Macaca mulatta: one gene and its partners. The protein of the gene in region 3 interacts with the protein of the main gene of each other region in a pairwise test. Links are inferred from orthologs where the notes say so. Each region holds a gene or a part of one and is shown on either strand. Other genes may lie near its edges. The genes, in order: TCEANC, ZNF346 and TARBP2.

What was found.
Region 1: the proteins of TARBP2 (region 3) and TCEANC interact in binary tests that used the Homo sapiens proteins (3 or more experiments, as listed by UniProt). The two-hybrid records come from large-scale screens. The link is inferred for Macaca mulatta from reciprocal best matches to the Homo sapiens genes TARBP2 and TCEANC.
Region 2: the proteins of TARBP2 (region 3) and ZNF346 interact in binary tests that used the Homo sapiens proteins (3 or more experiments, as listed by UniProt). The two-hybrid records come from large-scale screens. The link is inferred for Macaca mulatta from reciprocal best matches to the Homo sapiens genes TARBP2 and ZNF346.

What each region holds. Positions count from the first base shown.
Region 1 is NC_133426.1:13,299,267-13,305,046, reverse strand, and holds the start of TCEANC (transcription elongation factor A N-terminal and central domain-containing protein), read right to left. Parts: upstream 3,983-5,780; 5' UTR 3,863-3,982; exon of another isoform or gene 3,573-3,862; intron 2,153-3,572; exon of another isoform or gene 1,977-2,152; intron 1,777-1,976; 5' UTR 1,715-1,776; coding exon 1,692-1,714; intron 1-1,691.
Region 2 is NC_133411.1:185,970,849-185,976,780, reverse strand, and holds the start of ZNF346 (zinc finger protein 346), read right to left. Parts: upstream 3,853-5,932; 5' UTR 3,810-3,852; coding exon 3,635-3,809; intron 1-3,634.
Region 3 is NC_133416.1:60,653,582-60,659,190, reverse strand, and holds the start of TARBP2 (RISC-loading complex subunit TARBP2), read right to left. Parts: upstream 3,297-5,609; 5' UTR 1,345-3,296; coding exon 1,292-1,344; intron 1,181-1,291; exon of another isoform or gene 1,045-1,180; intron 740-1,044; coding exon 570-739; intron 1-569. UniProt on the Homo sapiens protein: Required for formation of the RNA induced silencing complex (RISC). Component of the RISC loading complex (RLC), also known as the micro-RNA (miRNA) loading complex (miRLC), which is composed of DICER1, AGO2 and TARBP2.

The DNA of each region.
Region 1 (5,780 bases), on a different chromosome or scaffold from region 3:
ACAGAGCCCATGGATTTTTGAAAAGACACAGTCCCTGCCACCAAGATGCTTACGTCCAGCATGCTTTTCATCCTCCCAAACTGAAAACTCTGCACCCATTAAACAACTCCTCATTTTTCCCTCCCTCCAGTCTCTGGCAATCACCACTCGACTTTCTGTCTCTATGGATGAGACTACTCTAGGTACTTCATGTGAGTGGAATCACACAGTATTTCTCTTTTTGTGACTTGCTTATTTCACTTAGCATAATGTCCTCAAGGTTCATCTATGTTGTAGCGTGTGTCAGAACTTCCTTCCTTTTTAAGAATGAATAATATTCCATTGTCTATATATAACACATTTTGTTTACCCATTCAAATGTCGATGGATACTTGGGTTACCTCTAGCTTTTGGCTATTGTGAATAACACTGCTGTGAGCACTGGTATACCAATCTCTCTTTGAGACCCTGCTTTCAATTCTTCTGAGTATATACTAAAAAATGGAATTGCTGGATTATATGGTAATTCTAGTTTTAATTTTTTGAGGACCCACTATATTGTTTTCCATTCCCTTCCACATTTTTAATAGCATTTAAATCCAGTCAAACTTTCTAGTCCTCTGTGGGACCATCATGTGGATATAAAGGATTTATTGCCCTAGGAGGGTATAACGTGGAAGCCATTGAGATATAAAATTCTGACAATTGCTATAAAAAGACAAAGTAAGGCATATGTCCAGCTTAGTTCTACATAGTTCATTCAATAAATATATATTAGGGATAGAGTATGTGCTAGATGCTGAGCCTAAACAGTCTCTGCCTTGAAGGAGCTGATAGCCTAGTGGAAGTAATACTGACAAGAAACTGGCCAGTTACAACACATGTGGTATTTCAACGTGGACAGACACTGGCTGCTAGAGAAAACACACACAGGGTGGTACCAAACCCTATCTGGGCTCTCCATCATCTGGACAGCTACAATTTGCTTCTTCACTGCCTTCACTCTACTTCTACACTCTACTCACAAAGTGAGTCTGGCACTTTGTTAGAGGGATCATCCTCTAGTACAGATCTCAGCAAGATATTCCCTCATTTTCCTGCTTAAAGCCCTTCAGAGGTTTCCCCTTGCTTTCATGATGGAGCCAAAGCTTCTTGGCCAGTGGCAAAAAGAGCCGTAGCAGGCCTCCCTCTTGACTACTCTCAACCACTGATGGGCACAGCTCTGTGCCTTTGCTCAAGCAGCATCCTGAGCCTGGCTGATCTCCCACCATTAGTGGTTCTTAACCCTGATTGCACATTAGAATCATCTGGGGGAAATTAAACAACAAAAAACAAAAACAAACAATGGCAGGGCCTCACTCCAGATAGGATGAATTAGGATCTCTGAGGGTAGGGCCTGCACACTGGCTCAGCTCTCCAGGGTGACTCTGATTTAAACCACACACAGGCATACAACCCTCCTCCACACCCCAGCAGGACCTCCCAGTTAGGCTGCCATCAGCCCCAAAGACAGCTCTGGTTCTGCTCCTGGACTGAATGCAGACAACTCTGACTTTGGCTTTTTCTAGATGAGTCTCATTCAGTCAGAAAAGATTTGAAACACCTACTGTGAACAATGCAGCTGACAACCTTCTCCACAAATTACACATGACAACTGTAATATTTTAAATGTCATAATGTACACAATCCCTGATACTCACCCCCTCACTTACCTCTTCACAGTGGAAGGCAACATATATTTATTGAGCAACTCTCTGGGACATACACTCTCCTGTCATCTCAATCCTCACAATATTCCTGAAATACAGATAATGGCTTATTTTCATCTTACAGGTGAGGAAACCTGCTAAAAACAGTAAATAATTTGCATGTTTTTTTTTCAGGGTGTTCATCACATTTAAAAAACGTTTTTACTGCCTTCCCCACAAGACCATAAGAGAAGATCCACATGTTTTATTCACCTATACACACCTAGCAAACACCCAGCCAGTGCTTACTATTACTTAACACATTTTTGTTGTTGTTAAATGAGTGATGAGCATACAGGATGCTCTCTCTCTTCTCTGCTTGTGAGCTTCATTTCTTTTCACTACACACCAGCTTGCTTGTACTCATTGCACCTAAGCCCAGTGCTCCTCGGCTTCTTCCGCAGGAGACCAAGTCCATCTCGATTCTAGTTCAAAAAAATAATTCAAAAAATTCTAGTTCAAATATATCTTGTTAAAAAAACAAAACAAAACAACCACCACCACCAGAACCATGGTGCCCACTGTGGGCTAATCAAAAGGGGTTGGGGGGTCAAAACATTTGCATAAAGAAGGTCAAGCAGGTCCAGTTCCTAGAAATGAGGGGTGCTGAGCAAGTTGGATAAGTTTCCTGACCATTCTGTGCCTCAATTTCCTCATCTACAAAATGGGAGAAATCCAACATCCTAGGATTAATGAGAATTAAATGAAAGTCTTGATAAAGTGCTTTGAACTATGGCTGTCACACAGTAAGTGTGAATAACAGGATGTGAGTCTACAATTAAAAGGCTTAAAAATATCTACCAAACCAGGCATTGTTCTAGAGCAGGGGGTCAGCACACTTTTTCTGTTAAAGATCAGAAGGTACATATTTTAGGCTTTGTAGGCCATACAATCTCTATGGACTACTCAACTCTGTTGCTCTTGTAGCAGCAACAGCAGATACAGAAAATAACATAAATGGATAGGCATGATCTTGTTCTGGTAACACTTGTTTACAAAAACAGGCAGGCTAGATTTGGCTGCAGGTCATAGTTTGTTGACCCTTTTCTAGAGCAGGGCTGTGCAACATAAATATAACATGTAAACCACAAATATGATTTAAAATTTTCCAGTAGTCATGTTAAAAAATAAAAATTGAAATTATACATTTTATTTAACCCAGTATATCCAGAATAGTCATCTCAACACGTGATTAATATAAACAAATTGAGATAGTTTACATTCTTTTTCATGCTAATTTTCCAAACTTCACTGTCTTACACTTATAGCACATCTCAATTCGGACAAGCCACATTTCAAGTGCTCAAGCCTTATGTAACTAATGGCTATCATTATTGGACACCACGGTTCTAGAACTGATGCTAATATGGATAATGCTTAGATGCATACCTATACCAAAAAGTTTATACAGTGCCAGGAAAAGTAGGCACGAAATATGGTATTGGATCCATATAAAAACTTACAAAGATTAGCTAATATTATAGTAAGCAAGGTGCACACATCTGCACAAAAATGGCCTAAACCCTGAGAAGAACGAGAGGAAAGTTCTGGAAACAATGTTTCCAGAAGTTGGTAAAAAGTCAATAATAACCTAGATCTGTTCAGATCTTTAGATCTCTTTAAAGCCTAAAGAGAAAGTGTAACTTTCTAGCCCTAACCCACTTACAGCTCCCCAGCTTCACAGAGAGCCCCGCCCTCTATGGAGAGAAATGATGCCAAATGTTGGCAGTGGTGTAGCGGTTACTTAACTGCCACTCAGTACTGCGCTAGGGCCCTTTCCCTTAATGGTGACCCCTAGTAAAGGTGCAGCGAGAGGAAGAGACCAGCCCAACAGCCCGGTCTAACCCGGGTTCGAGTTCCGGTGGGTGGGGTCGAGCAACATGCAAAGCCTGCCGCTAATCATCTTGGGATGACGGCCCAGCACCCAGCACACAAGCAGCTGCAGTCCCGAGGGTTCAGCCCACTCTGGCGACCTCGGCAGTCGGAGAGGAAGGGGCGGGGGTGAGAGCACCTTTGGACCTACGCCGCCCAGGGCGCACCGGAAAGCCGCCGCGAGCCGGGGTGGGCTTCCGCTGGGAACAAGGGCTCGCCTTTCTGCGGGACACAGGCCCTGGCAAACCTGAAGCATGACTCACTGAAAAGCGCAGGCGCAGTTCCGGAGCTTTCAGCCGCCCAGCGTCCACGGAGAACTTCCGGTCACCGGGACAGGGACAACTTCAAGGCTTAGCCAATCCAAGCCCACAGGCTGGCGCACGTGGGCCTGGGACCCGGCGCATGCGCACTAGGGAAATGGCGCATGCGTAGAGCGAACGGCGGCGGCCGTGGGACTGGGCTCGCGCGGCTTCCTGGAGGAGGAGCTATGGCCCCGCCCCTGGCCCGATAGAAAGAAACTGCACTTTCGTTTTTTAGCAGCAAAGGTTGTTGACGTACTTTACAACTTACCTGTTCTGCTTCTACTCAGGACAGTCAAGACAGTGTTCAGCTAGATGTTCACATAACCGTAGACATAAATGTGAATCTATTTAACGCAGTAATTAATTCAAAAAGTGTTTTTAACATCCTAGCATGCAACAGTTGATATGAAAGTAGTAAATGTTAATTGAGTGGTCATGTGCATCCTGGACTTCTCATCTGTGCACATTCTCATTCTTTGCCTGCAAAGGGCCAGTAAAAGCACAGTGATGGTTGAACGAATGTGACAGCCTCCTATGCTGATGCCTTACTCCAAAGTAATTTGGGGAAAGGTTCAGGGAAGCAGATTATCCAATCCAATACTCTGGACTGGGTGCTGGCAGAAAGGAGGGCGATTGTATGATTAAGTATCATAATAAATCTTACCTAAAAGGAGGGGAGACAAGACCAGTGACTCATTAACTTACCTAAAAGGAGGGGAGACAAGACCAGTAACTCATTAACTGGGATAGGGGATGTTTGGTCATTTTTGTGGTTTGGACAATGTTTATGTTTTTTCAGCATTCCCACGTGATTACAAAGGAGTCTTGTTTTTGTCTTGATCCATCCGGTCAAAGAGTGGTCACGTCTGATGGTGTTCTGTGAAGTATTTATGTTCCACGGAGCACCAAGGCCCAGCTGTGACTGCCGGGTCAGCTCAGAGCTGTCAGGGGTTACTTTTATCTTGCTGTCTATTACAGGGCTAAAATGTTTGCCATTGTAAATTGTAATGCAATTTTCACTTAAGAATTATATAATACCTTGTTGAAGAAAAAATTATTTGGCTGGGCGTGGTGGCTCACGCCTGTAACCCCAGCACTTTGGGAGGCTGAGGCAGGCGGATCACAAGGTCAGGAGCTCAAGACCATCCTGGCTAACACGGTGAAACCCCGTCTCTACTAAAAATACAAAAAATTAGCCGGGCGTGGTGGCACGTGCCTGTAATCCCAGCTACTTGGGAGGCTGAGGCAGAGAATCGCTTGAACCCAGGAGGCGGAGGTTGCAGTGAGCTGAGATCGTGCCCTGCACTCCAGCCTAGCGACAGAGCAAGACTTTGTCTAAAAAAAAAAAAAAGAAAAGAAAAGAAAATTATTTAATGACACTTGTCACTTGTTAAAGCATGGTAAGGAAGACTTTATTCAGGACCATTGAGGTAGACATAGGGACCACTGCAACAGGGTCTTGCAGTGGGGAAGAGAGATTGGGCTCAACTTCAAATGTGGCATGGAAAAGTGAGAATTTATAGCCAAGGAGCAAGGAAGGGAGGTCAGTGAATGGACCTCCCTGACCTTTGCTGTAGAAATTTCTGGCCCAGTTCATCTGGAATGAATCTAGGGCTGCCAATGGATTCTAAAGAGGTTGCTGAAAAGTTGGTTCTTTTGGGCAATTTAAAAATGGAATACTTATAAAAGTACTCACATCTGTGATAATTTATCATGCATAGTTTTCAGGCCTTTGTTTTAAAATCATCTTTCAGCTGCTTCAATACTCTGGAATTCTCTTTGATAAATTTCCCTTAGTGCAGCGGAAACCTCTTTTCAATCCTTATTAAGTCTCTGAGTAGCAATATATTAACAGATATTCTGAGCTCATGCAGACAGC
Region 2 (5,932 bases), on a different chromosome or scaffold from region 3:
CACCGCGCCCGGCTAGTTTTTTGTATTTTTAGTAGAGACGGGGTTTCACTGTGTTAGCCAGGATGGTCTCGATCTCCTGACCTTGTGATCCGCCCGCCTCGGCCTCCCAAAGTGCTGGGATTATAGGCGTGAGCCACCGCGCTCGGCCGAGAATTCTTGATAAACGACTTTGTATGAGTCCCACTCCCTGTCCACATTTTTTGCCTTTAAAAATCAAGTAAACTCTTTAAATCATATTTTGTGTGTTAGCCTCTTCCTTGTAGATCAACACTTCTATAAAATACTGTAAAAAGAAATATTACCAACTGGGTGTGGTGGCTCACACCTGGAATCCCAACACTTTGGGAGGCCGAGGCTGGTGGATCACCTGAGGTCAGGAGTTCAAAACCAGCCTGGCCAACACGGTGAAACTCTGTCTCTACTGAAAATACAAAAAAATTAGCTGGGTATGGAAGCTCCCTCCTGTAATCACAGCTACTTAGGAGGCTGAGGCTCAAGAATCACTTGAATCTGGGACAGGGAGGCTGCAGTGAACTGAGATCATGCCACCACACTCTAGCATGGGCGACAGAGTGGGATTCCGTCTGCACTCCAGCCTGGGTAACGGTGAGACTGCGTCTCAAAAAAAAAAAAAAAATTAAGAAGATCTATAAGAGAAAATTTCTCAAATCTTGGGTTAAGATAAAGAGTTATTAGATATGACACTACAAGCACAATACATAGGATAAAAAACTGATAAATTTAATTTCATCAAAACTTAAAACTTTTGTGCTTCAAAAGGCACTGTTTAGAAAATGAAAACACAAGTCAGTCGGGGGGAATCTTTGGAAACCGTATCTATAATAAAAGACTTGTACCCAGAACACACAGACAACTCTTACAACTCAGTAGAAGACAAACAGCCCAATTACAAAATAGGCAAATGATATCAATAGATATTTCACCAAAGATCTACAAATGGGTAGTTAGCCCATGAAAAGGTGCTCAGTATTATCAGTCTTTAGGAAACCACAATGAGATATCACTACATGCCCACTAGAATGCCTATAATCAAAAAAGACAAGTGTTGTCAAGGTTATAGAAAAAGCAAAACCCTCATACATTGAAGGCAGAAATATAAAAGGTGAAGCCATTTTGGAAAAGTTTGGCAGTTCTTCAAAATGTTAGAGTTACGATATGACCCAGCAATTCCATTCTTAGGGATATACTCAAGAAATGAAACGTATGTTCACACAAAAACTTGGGCATGAATGTTCGCAGCAGCACTATTCACAAAAACTCCAAACTGGAAACAATCCAAATGTCTAGAAATAATGAACAGATTAATAGAATGTGTTATATTCATTCAATGGAATTCTATTTAGCAATAAAAATGAAGTACTAATACACACCATGACTTGGCTGACCTTCAAAAACATGCCGAGAGAAGCCAAACTCAAAAGACTACCCAAGACAGAAAACAGATCACTGGTTGCCTAGGGCAGGAGGTGGGAGTGGGGATTTAATATAAGTAAGCTCAAAGGAACTAATTGGGGTGATGGAAATGTTCTAAAACTGGACTGTGGTAATGGCTATACAACTGTACATTGGCTAACAATCATTGGCGATATGCTTACAATGGGCGACTTGTATGGTATATAAACTGTAACTCAATGAAGGTGCTAAGAGAAGAAAAAGAGTGAGTAGAACTTAATGTTGCAGGTGTCTACTTAGATTTCATATAAATGTGCGAGAAGTGAGGAGAACAGGGAAATGAAATGGGTCGTAACAGTGCCACTGTACACTCACATACACATAGCAGACAGTTCACTTTTTAGAGCACAGTGGTTTTCTGCTTCAAGATCTAGGGCAAAGGTCACCTTTTGTGCACCTCCAACTCTTAAAACATTCCTCAGCACTGCATCCTTTACATTACACTGGAACTGTTTTAGTGTCTGCTTCCTGGACTAGACTGCAAGCCTTTCCAGGGAAAGGACAATATCTTTCTCTGATACTCCAGCTCTGAAGCTCAACCAATTCTGGGTCGAGAGCAGACATCTGTGAATGTTTGTCAAATTAATGAAAGGAAAATTGGGGTAGAGCAAGGAAACTACCAAACAAGTTTGAAAGTAGGAGAGCCGGGTGTGGTGGCTCATGCCTGTGATCCCAGCACTTTGGGAGGTCAAGGAAGGCAGATCACTTGAGGTCAGGAGTTCGAGAACAGCCTGGCCAACATGGTCAAACCCCATCTCTACTAAAAATACAAAAATCAGCTGAGCATGATGGTGGTCACCTGTAATCCCAGCTACTCCGGGGGCTGGGGCAGCATAGAACTGCTTGAACCTGGGAGGCAGAGGTTGCGGTGGGATTGTGCCACTGCACTCCAACCTGGGTGACAGAGGGAGACTCTCTCAAAAAAAAAAAAAGGAAAAAGAAAAAGGAGAGAGGGTCCCAGAAATGGTATGTGTGTATATATTTATATATACACATATATGTAAATATACACACACATATACACATACACACACATACCATTTCTGGGGCCCTGCCTTTCTTTTTAATATATATATATATAAACTTAGGAGACAGGCTAGACTTGTTTTTAAATTGGAGAATTATATACCAGGGTATAGGTCTGTGTATCACCCCTAATTTAAACATATGTTCCTTAGATATGGTCCAAATTTCAATTTTATCCAGGGCAGTCAGTTGACAAATAGCATATTAAACTTTCCATGACAAGTCTGCTCAGCAAGCAAACAAATCACTGGAGAAATCTGATTTCCCTCCAGATACCTGACAGGGTTAGCAGAGAAGCCCAGATAGAGTTCTTGGACACTTGGGTTAGCATTAAGCAGCTGGCTCTGTAAAGGACGGTGAAGGGAGTCACACAAGAAGGTCAGAACAGCTCTTTCCCATCCTTCTCTTTCTTTCATCCCATCTTACCCAGTCTCAGGTCAAGTGCGCAGCAAGCTGGCACACTTCGGCCCAGAAGTGACCCCTGACGTGGCTTTGCTTATACTGTTCTCAGCAACTTTGGGTCAAGTGTAGAACACAAAGAAGCTGGAGTCAAAGCGAACCCAGACCAGTTTCTCAGTCTCCTTGTCCCCACCTTAGAATAAGGAACCCAGCAAGTAGAAGCCAGAGAGCTAAAAACGGGTAAGCCACGGCTCAGTCACCAAGACCAGGAGGAACCCGGGGGTAAGGAGAAGGCCTTCCAGAGCCCTCGGAAGTGTGAGGCCTGACAGAAGGGAGGCAAGAGGCTCTACGAGGAAATCTGGAGATTGGGACGATGAGGAGTCAAGGAGTGGCGAGGGGCACTCGGCCTGAATTACGGGGATGGCAAAGACTGTGGGTCTCCGACAAGCATAGGGATGACGATCTTCGAATTCGGGAAAAACTGCGCTGTAGTGACTGATGAAGGAGGAGGGGAAAAGCTCTGGGCCTGAGCGTGAGCGGCCGTGATCACCCTCAGCGCGCTGGGGGCCCGATTCTTGGGGTGCCCGCGCCTGAATGGGGAGCACAAGTCTGGGGGTCCCGGAGCGCAGCACGCAAGGAGGCGGGCCAGGGGGGTGTGACCGCAGGCGCTTCCGCAGCTCCCCGCGAGCCGCGCAGGCGGGTGAGGGGCTTCCTGCCTCCAAAGCCCCCGACTCACCTTCCTCCCTACCCACCGGCTGGGCACCGGACACGGCTTCCCACAGGCGGCGCGCCCTCTCGCGGTCAAAGCGCACCCCATCCGGCTCCTGGCCCTCTAGCTCCTCCGAGCTGTTGTAACGCCCGGCCCCTCCGCCGTCTGCGGCCTCCACTGTGGCCGGCGCGGGATACGCCATCTTCCCCGCAAACCCTCGCCGGTGGAGAGCCGCTCAGGCGCCTAAATATCGCGAGATTGGGGGAGTGGTACTTGGTCCGGCCAACAAATCTCGCGAGGTTTGGGCGCTGCCGTGCGGTACCTGGCGCTTATTTTGCTTTGCTACCTCTGGTACCCCCAGCGTGTGGTGTGGATTCGGAAACCTGTCGCTGATTCCGCAGCAGTGACACCCCCTCCCGGAGAGGCTAGTACGGTTTTGGCTCAGGACTCTCACCTTCCTCACGGTCAGCCCTTGATACTTTTCATTTCGTTCTCAAGGTTCCGTTATGTGGGAGTGTTTTCGCCATTTCATTTACAGGGAAACTGAGGCCCAGAACCTAGAAATGGTTAACTCAACAGTTCGCTGCTAGTAAGTAGTAGTACAGCTGAGGTTCCGTATTACTAATAATAGATTCTACTTGTTGAGTTCCAAGTGCCGGCTCCCAGCTCTGATTTTCCCTGAGACTCCGGACCTGTACACATCCAGTTGCCTCTTCCACAGTTCACTCGAATGGCTAATAGGCTTCTCCAATGTAGCTGTCAGACCCCAAATTTTATTTTCCAACCCCAGAGCTGCTCCTTCCCGTGTCTTTGGGAGCCATCATCTCTTGCCTAGGTTATTGTAGTAGCCACCTCATTGGTATTCACAGCACAGCAGTCCCAGGGATCCTCTTATGACAAGTCAGATCATGACACTTAGGTTCTCAAATCCTCCAACAGCTTCCCATCTCACTGTTAGTAAAAGCCAAAGTCCTTACTTTGACCAACAAGGCCCTGTACAATCTGACTTCACTTAACCTCCCTGATCCTGATGTATCACTCAGTCTCCAACTCCTTAATTCCTGTCCCGGTTACACAGGCCTCCTGGGGTGCATTTCTCCCATATATCTTCATGGCTCAGTCTCCCACTTCCTTCTCTGGCTACTGTATCTAAAATACCTTCTCTGGCTATCATCTAAAATGTTACTTTTCCACACATACTTCATGTCCTCCTTTCCTGCTTTATTTCATATATATTTTACTTTTTATCTTGTTTATTGTCTGTCTACCTACTAGAAGGCAAGCCCCAGGAAGGCAGGGATTTTTGTCTATTTTCTTTTCTTTTTCTTTTTTTTTTTTGAGACGGAGTTTTGCTCTGTCGCCACGTTGGAGTGCAGTGATGCGATCTCGGCTCACTGCAACTTCCGCCTCCCGGGTTCAAGCAATTCTCCTGCTTCAGCCTCCCGTGTAGCTGGGATTACAGGTACATGCCACTGCATCCAGCTAATTTTTGTATTTTTGGTAAAGACAGGGTTTCACTATGTTAGCTAGGCTGATCTCGAACTCCTGACCTCGTAATCGTCCCACCTCAGCCTCCCGAAGTGCTGGGATTACAGGCACATGTCACCGCGCCCAGCCTTTTGTCTCTTTTCATTGTACCTGAATCTCCAGCACTTTGAAATAGAACCTGGACCCTCCTAGGTACATACAAAATATTTGTTTAATGAATGAAGTTTTTAATATTACTAGCTTATTTCAACCTTATTTGTTCAAATACGGAGAATTTACTATGAGCTAGATGATATTTTGAGCATGGAAATATAGTAGTGAACAAGACAGGGAAACTCTAGTATTTTTTATTGTAGTGGAGGAGACTACAATAAAAAAGTTAACAGTAGGCCGGGCGCGGTGGCTCACGCCTGTAATCCCAGCACTTTGGGAGGCCAAGGCAGGCGGATCATGAGGTCAGGAGATCGAGACCATCCTGGCTAACACGGTGAAACCTTATCCTTACTAAAAATACAGAAAAATTAGCCAGGCGTGGTGGCAGGCGCCTGTAGTCCCAGCTACTCGGGAGGCTGAGGGAGGAAAATGGCATGAACCCGCGAGGCGGAGCTTGCAGTGAGCCGAGATCGCACCACTGCACTCCATCCTGGGCAACAGAGTGAGACTCTGTCTCAAAAAAAGAAAAAAAAAAAAAGGTTAACAGTAATAAGTGCTAAGGAGAAGATAAAACAGGAATATATCTCAGGTGAATGATGTGTTAGGAACATTAGTCAGGGTGGTGTCAGGGGAAGCCTCTGGGAAAATGACATTTGAGCTAAGACCTGATTAATGAGAAGGGGT
Region 3 (5,609 bases):
TCAAATGCTTTAATTTCCTTTGCAAAGCACTTTCTTTTCCCTCAATAAAAACAGAGAGCTGGAATAAGAGAGGGTAGGCTCTGGAGTAAAAGCCCCACTCCGCCACACACTAGGCATGTGACCATGCACCAGCCATTTACTATCTCAAATACTCAGTTTCCTCATATTCAACATGGGCGGGCGGGGGGAGGAGTGGGGGGGGATACTGCCACCTACATCACTGGTTAGACTGAGGTTTAAAATTAAATGGGAATTTGGTTAAGCACCGGGAACAGAGCCCAGCATGCCAGGCACTCACTCCCCCAAATACTCCACTGGGATTTCAGTTATCTTCTCTTCCTTTTCCTCTAGGGTGATGTGGCAGTCCTGATCGATCCTCTAACTCTCCCACGTCCTACCCACCTTCTCACAGCCCTGTTCTCCCAATCCAGTCAGTAGCTTTTCCCCTGAAATCTCTCCTTCCCTCACTGGCCTTGAAGAAAAGGACTGTGAAGAAAGAGACTCCAAGAAACAAAGTCATGGGGACCTGCAAATGCACACCCCAGCCAGGCTGCCCAAGCCTTCCTCACCAGTGCAGCTGGTGTCGCCAACGGTGACCCGGAAGGTGAAATTAGGCTGGTGGGCTTGGCCCTCGGCTTTGAGAAGGTCGTACACAGGCGTCTTCCCTATTCTGGTCCCATACTCCTGCAGAAGGCTGATCGGGGTCTTGCCTGGGTTGGCGGCCAGCATTTGCTCTATACTGGGGGAAGGGGCACAGACCCATATCACACCTCCCCTCTCTGCACCCACCTGGCCAAGCACTTCCATACCAGACCTAGGCACATTATGGGGGACATAGGGTCCAAGGAACCCCAGGCAGTCTAGCATCCATTGGCTGGGTTCCAAGTGTAGGTGCAGGCTGGAAGAGTAGGGCCCACTACCTCAAAGCAAGGGGGGAAGAATGCACTGCTCCTGCCTCAGTTAAGGTGGGCACGATCCTGTGCCCCATGCAGGTTGAAAGTGCATACCCCCTGACACAGTGCAAGCCAGGAACCCAGTACCCACCAAATGCACTGAATGTGGGGGCATAAAGCCCAGTGTTCCAGTGCAGTCTGGGAACCGGGCCAACCCCAAACTATTTAGAGCTGAAGGCAGCAGCCACTGCCCCGGTGCACGCCGGGAACCACTGCCCACTGCCCCAGTGCTTGCCGGGAACAACCCTCAGGCCAGGTGCATGCTGGGGCCGCGCCGCTACTCCCTCCGCACGGCCCCACGCTTTTTGCCCAGAAGGAATCGGTACGAGGCGGCTCACCTAGGCAGCCCGCAGCCCGTGGTAATGCCGGAGCCTTGCTCCTCTTCACTCATTCCCTCCTCCGTCCCCGCGGGCGCCACCGTGACTGCAGCCTCCACGCGCCCCAATACACCGCCGACGAGCTAGGGCCGGGGCCAAGCCCGGAGTCGCGGCCGGTAGGGCCCGCCGAGGGGCACGCTGGGATATGGAGTCCCCCGCCCACCCTACTTCATGAGCCTCCATCTGGAGGGGAGCTATCCGCCCCACAACCCTCCGCGTGGCTCGCCCGGGCCGGCTGCACCGCCTTCTGGGAGGAGCGGGCTCTCCGCAGTCGCTTCTCGAGAAGGCTGTATTTTTTTGTTTGTAATACCGTCCCGCCTCCTTCCTTCCGCGCCCCCTCTCTCCCGGGCCGTGAGGCTGTGGACATGCGTACTAGCGGAGGGGAAGCCGCTGGGTAGCGGGGCGGTAAGGACTCACTTGGGCACGGAGCCTTTTGGATCCCGAGAAAACTACAGAACCCAGGAGCCCGCGCGCCATCTTTGCCGCAGCTGGAGGGGCAGGGTCAAGCACGCACGAGAAGCTTCATGTTGTCATTGGTTACTCCCATTGCGTTTACTTCCTCTAGGCACATTGGAATTGGTTACTTCGACCAAAGGGGCGGGGACAAGGAAAAGTCAGCCCCCTGACCCCGCCTCCTTGGTGAAGGAAGGTTGTGATTGGTCCGGAGAGGTTGCTGTCGGATCCGGGCTCTTTGAGGTCTGAGAGGGTGGGCTTTACCTAGACGCCGGAGGGGACCGATGTCTGTCTACGCAGGGCTCTGGAGCTGGTGCAGATCCAAGTCAGTCTCAGACAGTCCCCTCAACCCACAGCCTAAGCCCCTGGCCCTTGGGCCTCCGTGACACAGAACTTGCTTCCTCTTCCTAGGTTGTCCTTCACCTCCTTCAGGTTTTGCTTCTTTTGTAAAACCTTTTTAGAACGGCTCTAGTGAACCTCTCTAACTGGCAAGGAAATCTCTGGGGCCTGATAATCAGGCTGTGGTGTGGGGCGACAGGATTAGAAGGACTAGGCACCTGGTGGTCTCGTTCCCTCTGCCATGAGTCTTGGGTCTCTCAGCTGAAGAAAGCAAGAGTGAATTTTGGCCGCCTAAGACTAATCAACTGATCTGGGTGTTGAGCAGACGCAAATTTTTTAGTCCTAGAGCCCCATTGCCTCCTCCCCCAAAGTCGCACAACCACTGGGCTAAGGGAAATCTTGTGACCTTGGAGAAAGGGAGATATCACATTTTTTAAAAATAAATAAATAAATAAAGGTTCTAATGAGTGTTCTGAGAAGGGGTCAAGAAAGAGATGTCTTACTCTGAGGCGGGGCTGGAGGTCCAGAGGAATCTTTAAATGATAATGAGGGGTCATCCAGGAACACTGGAGGAGGATGGGGCCTAGAGTCGAGTGAATTCCAAGTGGGTGAAATTAGAGTGAGCGGTGACAATCAAGGGAAGGAGAGCTGGCAAGATCAGTATGATAGGGGGAGCAATGCCAGAGCGCTAGGGATCCCAACTGAGGGGCTGCTCTCTCCGATGTAGAAAGGAGTCTATAAGACGAGTCATAGGGGGTTCCTGTGGAATCAGCCTAAGGCCTGAGGTGGGACCTCCATAGGACACCGCCAGCAGGGAAGCGCGGGGCCCAGGCGGGCCAGGGACGAGAGTGGAGCGCGCCGGATGGCAGCAGCGGGCTCCTTTAAGAGGCCGGCGGCTCCATCGCAGCATCCCCCGCTCAGGGCGTGTCCGTCCCGGGGGGCCAGGGGCGGGGGCCCTGGAAGGAGCGGGAGTTCAAGCCGAGCAGGGACGGGGCTAGGGGTCGGGGGGTGGGGGCAGCAAGCTGAAGCTGACACCCGTGCATCCGGACACCGCACGAGCATCGCCTGTGACAGCGCCCCGGGTCCGGTGGAGGGCAGCGGGGGGAGGAGGGAAGGAGGAGGAGAAGGAGGAGGAGGCGGGAGCAGCATCCGGAGCGGAGCTGCAGCAGCGCCGCCTTTTGTGCTGCGGCCGCGGAGCCCCCGAGGTGAGAGCCTGGCCGAGTTGTGGGGGGGTGGGGGGCAGGGATGGGTCCGGGTCCTGGGATCCGGGCGTGGAGGGAGGGTCGGGATGCAGATGTGGCCTGGTGCGGGTGGTGGTGTGGGGATGCTGAAGCTGTGGGGATGGAGGAACTGGGGACCTGGACCCGACGCGTGTGGGGCTGGGAAGGAAGGGAATGGAGCGGAGAGATGCCGCGGCCCAGCTTGGAGACGAAGGGCCTCCAGAGCTGGAAAGGACCGTATTGGGGTGGGGTGGAGGGTGATTGGGGGACAGACTTAAAGGACAGAGGGCAAGAGAACATCTCCTCCCACTCATCCTCAGGAAGGGAGAGAGGGAAGGAGGAGGGAGAGTTTTGGCCCCCTCCAGGGAAGGAAAGGAAGGGCAAGGACTGATGTACCCACATCTCCCTCCACACACACACAGACACACACACACACACACACACACACACTTAGCAGGCTGGACCTGAAGATTAGTCAGAGAGCACCTGTTCCTAGATGCCCAGGCGTTGGTCCCCTCCCCTTCCAGCTGTGATCCTCCTAATCCCCTCCAGCTGTGGCATTCACCTCCATCCAGCTGTTGCATCCTCCCCTCCCCCATTCACGTGTGGGTTTCTCCCTCCTCTTTCTCTCCATCTCCTCTGGCTCCCCTAACCCGTCTCCCCCAGTCAAACCCTCCAAAAACCTCCTCCCTTTCCCACAAACACTCCTCAAACTCATTGGCTTAAAAATAAGCAAGAGTTGAGACTTGCTGGTAACCAAGGCCTTGACTGAGAGGAGGGAAGAGTCAAGGCTCTGTAGACAGTGGGAGGAAACAGTGAGGTGTCCCTTAGAATTAAGGGAGGAGTCCTACCTTGTAGATGCTCATCTGCTGCCTTTTTCAGAGGAGCATAGGTGAGTGGCCTCCAATCAGGAGGGAGTGCACATGAGGTCTCCTTACCCCACCCAGAGTCGTCTCAAGCCACAGTCAGTGCATCCCTCTAAACACATTTCCCTTGCAGTTCTCAAGGTGGACTCCATTGCTCTAGGAGCTCTGAGTTTCAGCCAGAGGGTCATACCAAGCCAAGGCTAACAGAAAGGATTTAGGAAGGAAAGGACTCAAGTGCCCCCTGAGCCTTCCTGTCCAGACACTGAAGTTTCTCTGAGCTTTAGGGCCCCACTCCCTCCTATCTCACACGGGTGAAAAAAACATGTGTGTCCCCTCAAGCATACCATTCATCCACTCACTCCCATTGTCAACTGGGGTAATGTTGGGAAAACCCCAGCTCTCAACATGTAGACCACCAGCTAAATACCCATCCCAGTTACAGACAGAGGAGGCAAGAAGTTAGATGTGGCTCAGGATTTCCTAGGCTTTCTTATAGCTGAAGAGGGCAGAACCCTTCTAAAAACCAATTGCGCCGGGCGCGGTGGCTCAAGCCTGTAATCCCAGCACTTTGGGAGGCTGAGACGGGCGGATCACAAGGTCAGGAGATCGAGACCATCCTGGCTAACACAGTGAAACCCCGTCTCTACTAAAAATACAAAAACTTAGCCGGGCGAGGTGGCAGGCGCCTGTAGTCCCAGCTACTCGGGAGGCTGAGGCAGGAGAATGGCGTGAACCCGGGAGGCGGAGCTTGCAGTGAGCTGAGATCCGGCCACTGCACTCCAGCCTGGGTGACAGAGCGAGACTCCGTCTCAAAAAAAAAAAAAAAAAAAAAAAAAAAAACCAATTGCTCTTCCCCTGGTGGTGACAATATGGTAGGATCAGGCTTTTCTAGGAAGAGGACCCTTGGTTCTGCCACTCACGGCCCAGACTGTTGTAATCCACAGTCCTCCCTCTCCCCTGCCTGGATCTGGAGAGAAAGAAGGAATGAGAGAATCAGCCCCGTAAGAAGTCCTTGCTAGGGTGGACTGGAGATCACCCCTACATTCAGGTCCTCAGCCCTATACCAGTCAAGCCCTGGGACCCCCAGCTGCCATGCTTCTTCCAGTGAGGTGGAAATGTCTGCCCCTCATGCCCGCCACTCATCCACTCACTCACACTGTTGACTGAGGTGATGCTGGGAAGGAGGAGGATACTGTTGAGATGATGCCAGCAGGGGACATAGGGGCTTCATGAGGGCCTGGCCACAGAGACTAGTCTGTCCGGTTCATTGGCTCCCAGAAGCACTGGGGTCATATGTGTGTGTGGGGAAGGTGAGGAGACTGCGACAGTGACCAGATTCCAGAGGAGGCTAAAGATCATTCAGGATAGAGCCCTTGTCCTTTGGTTTCTTCATTCTTTGGT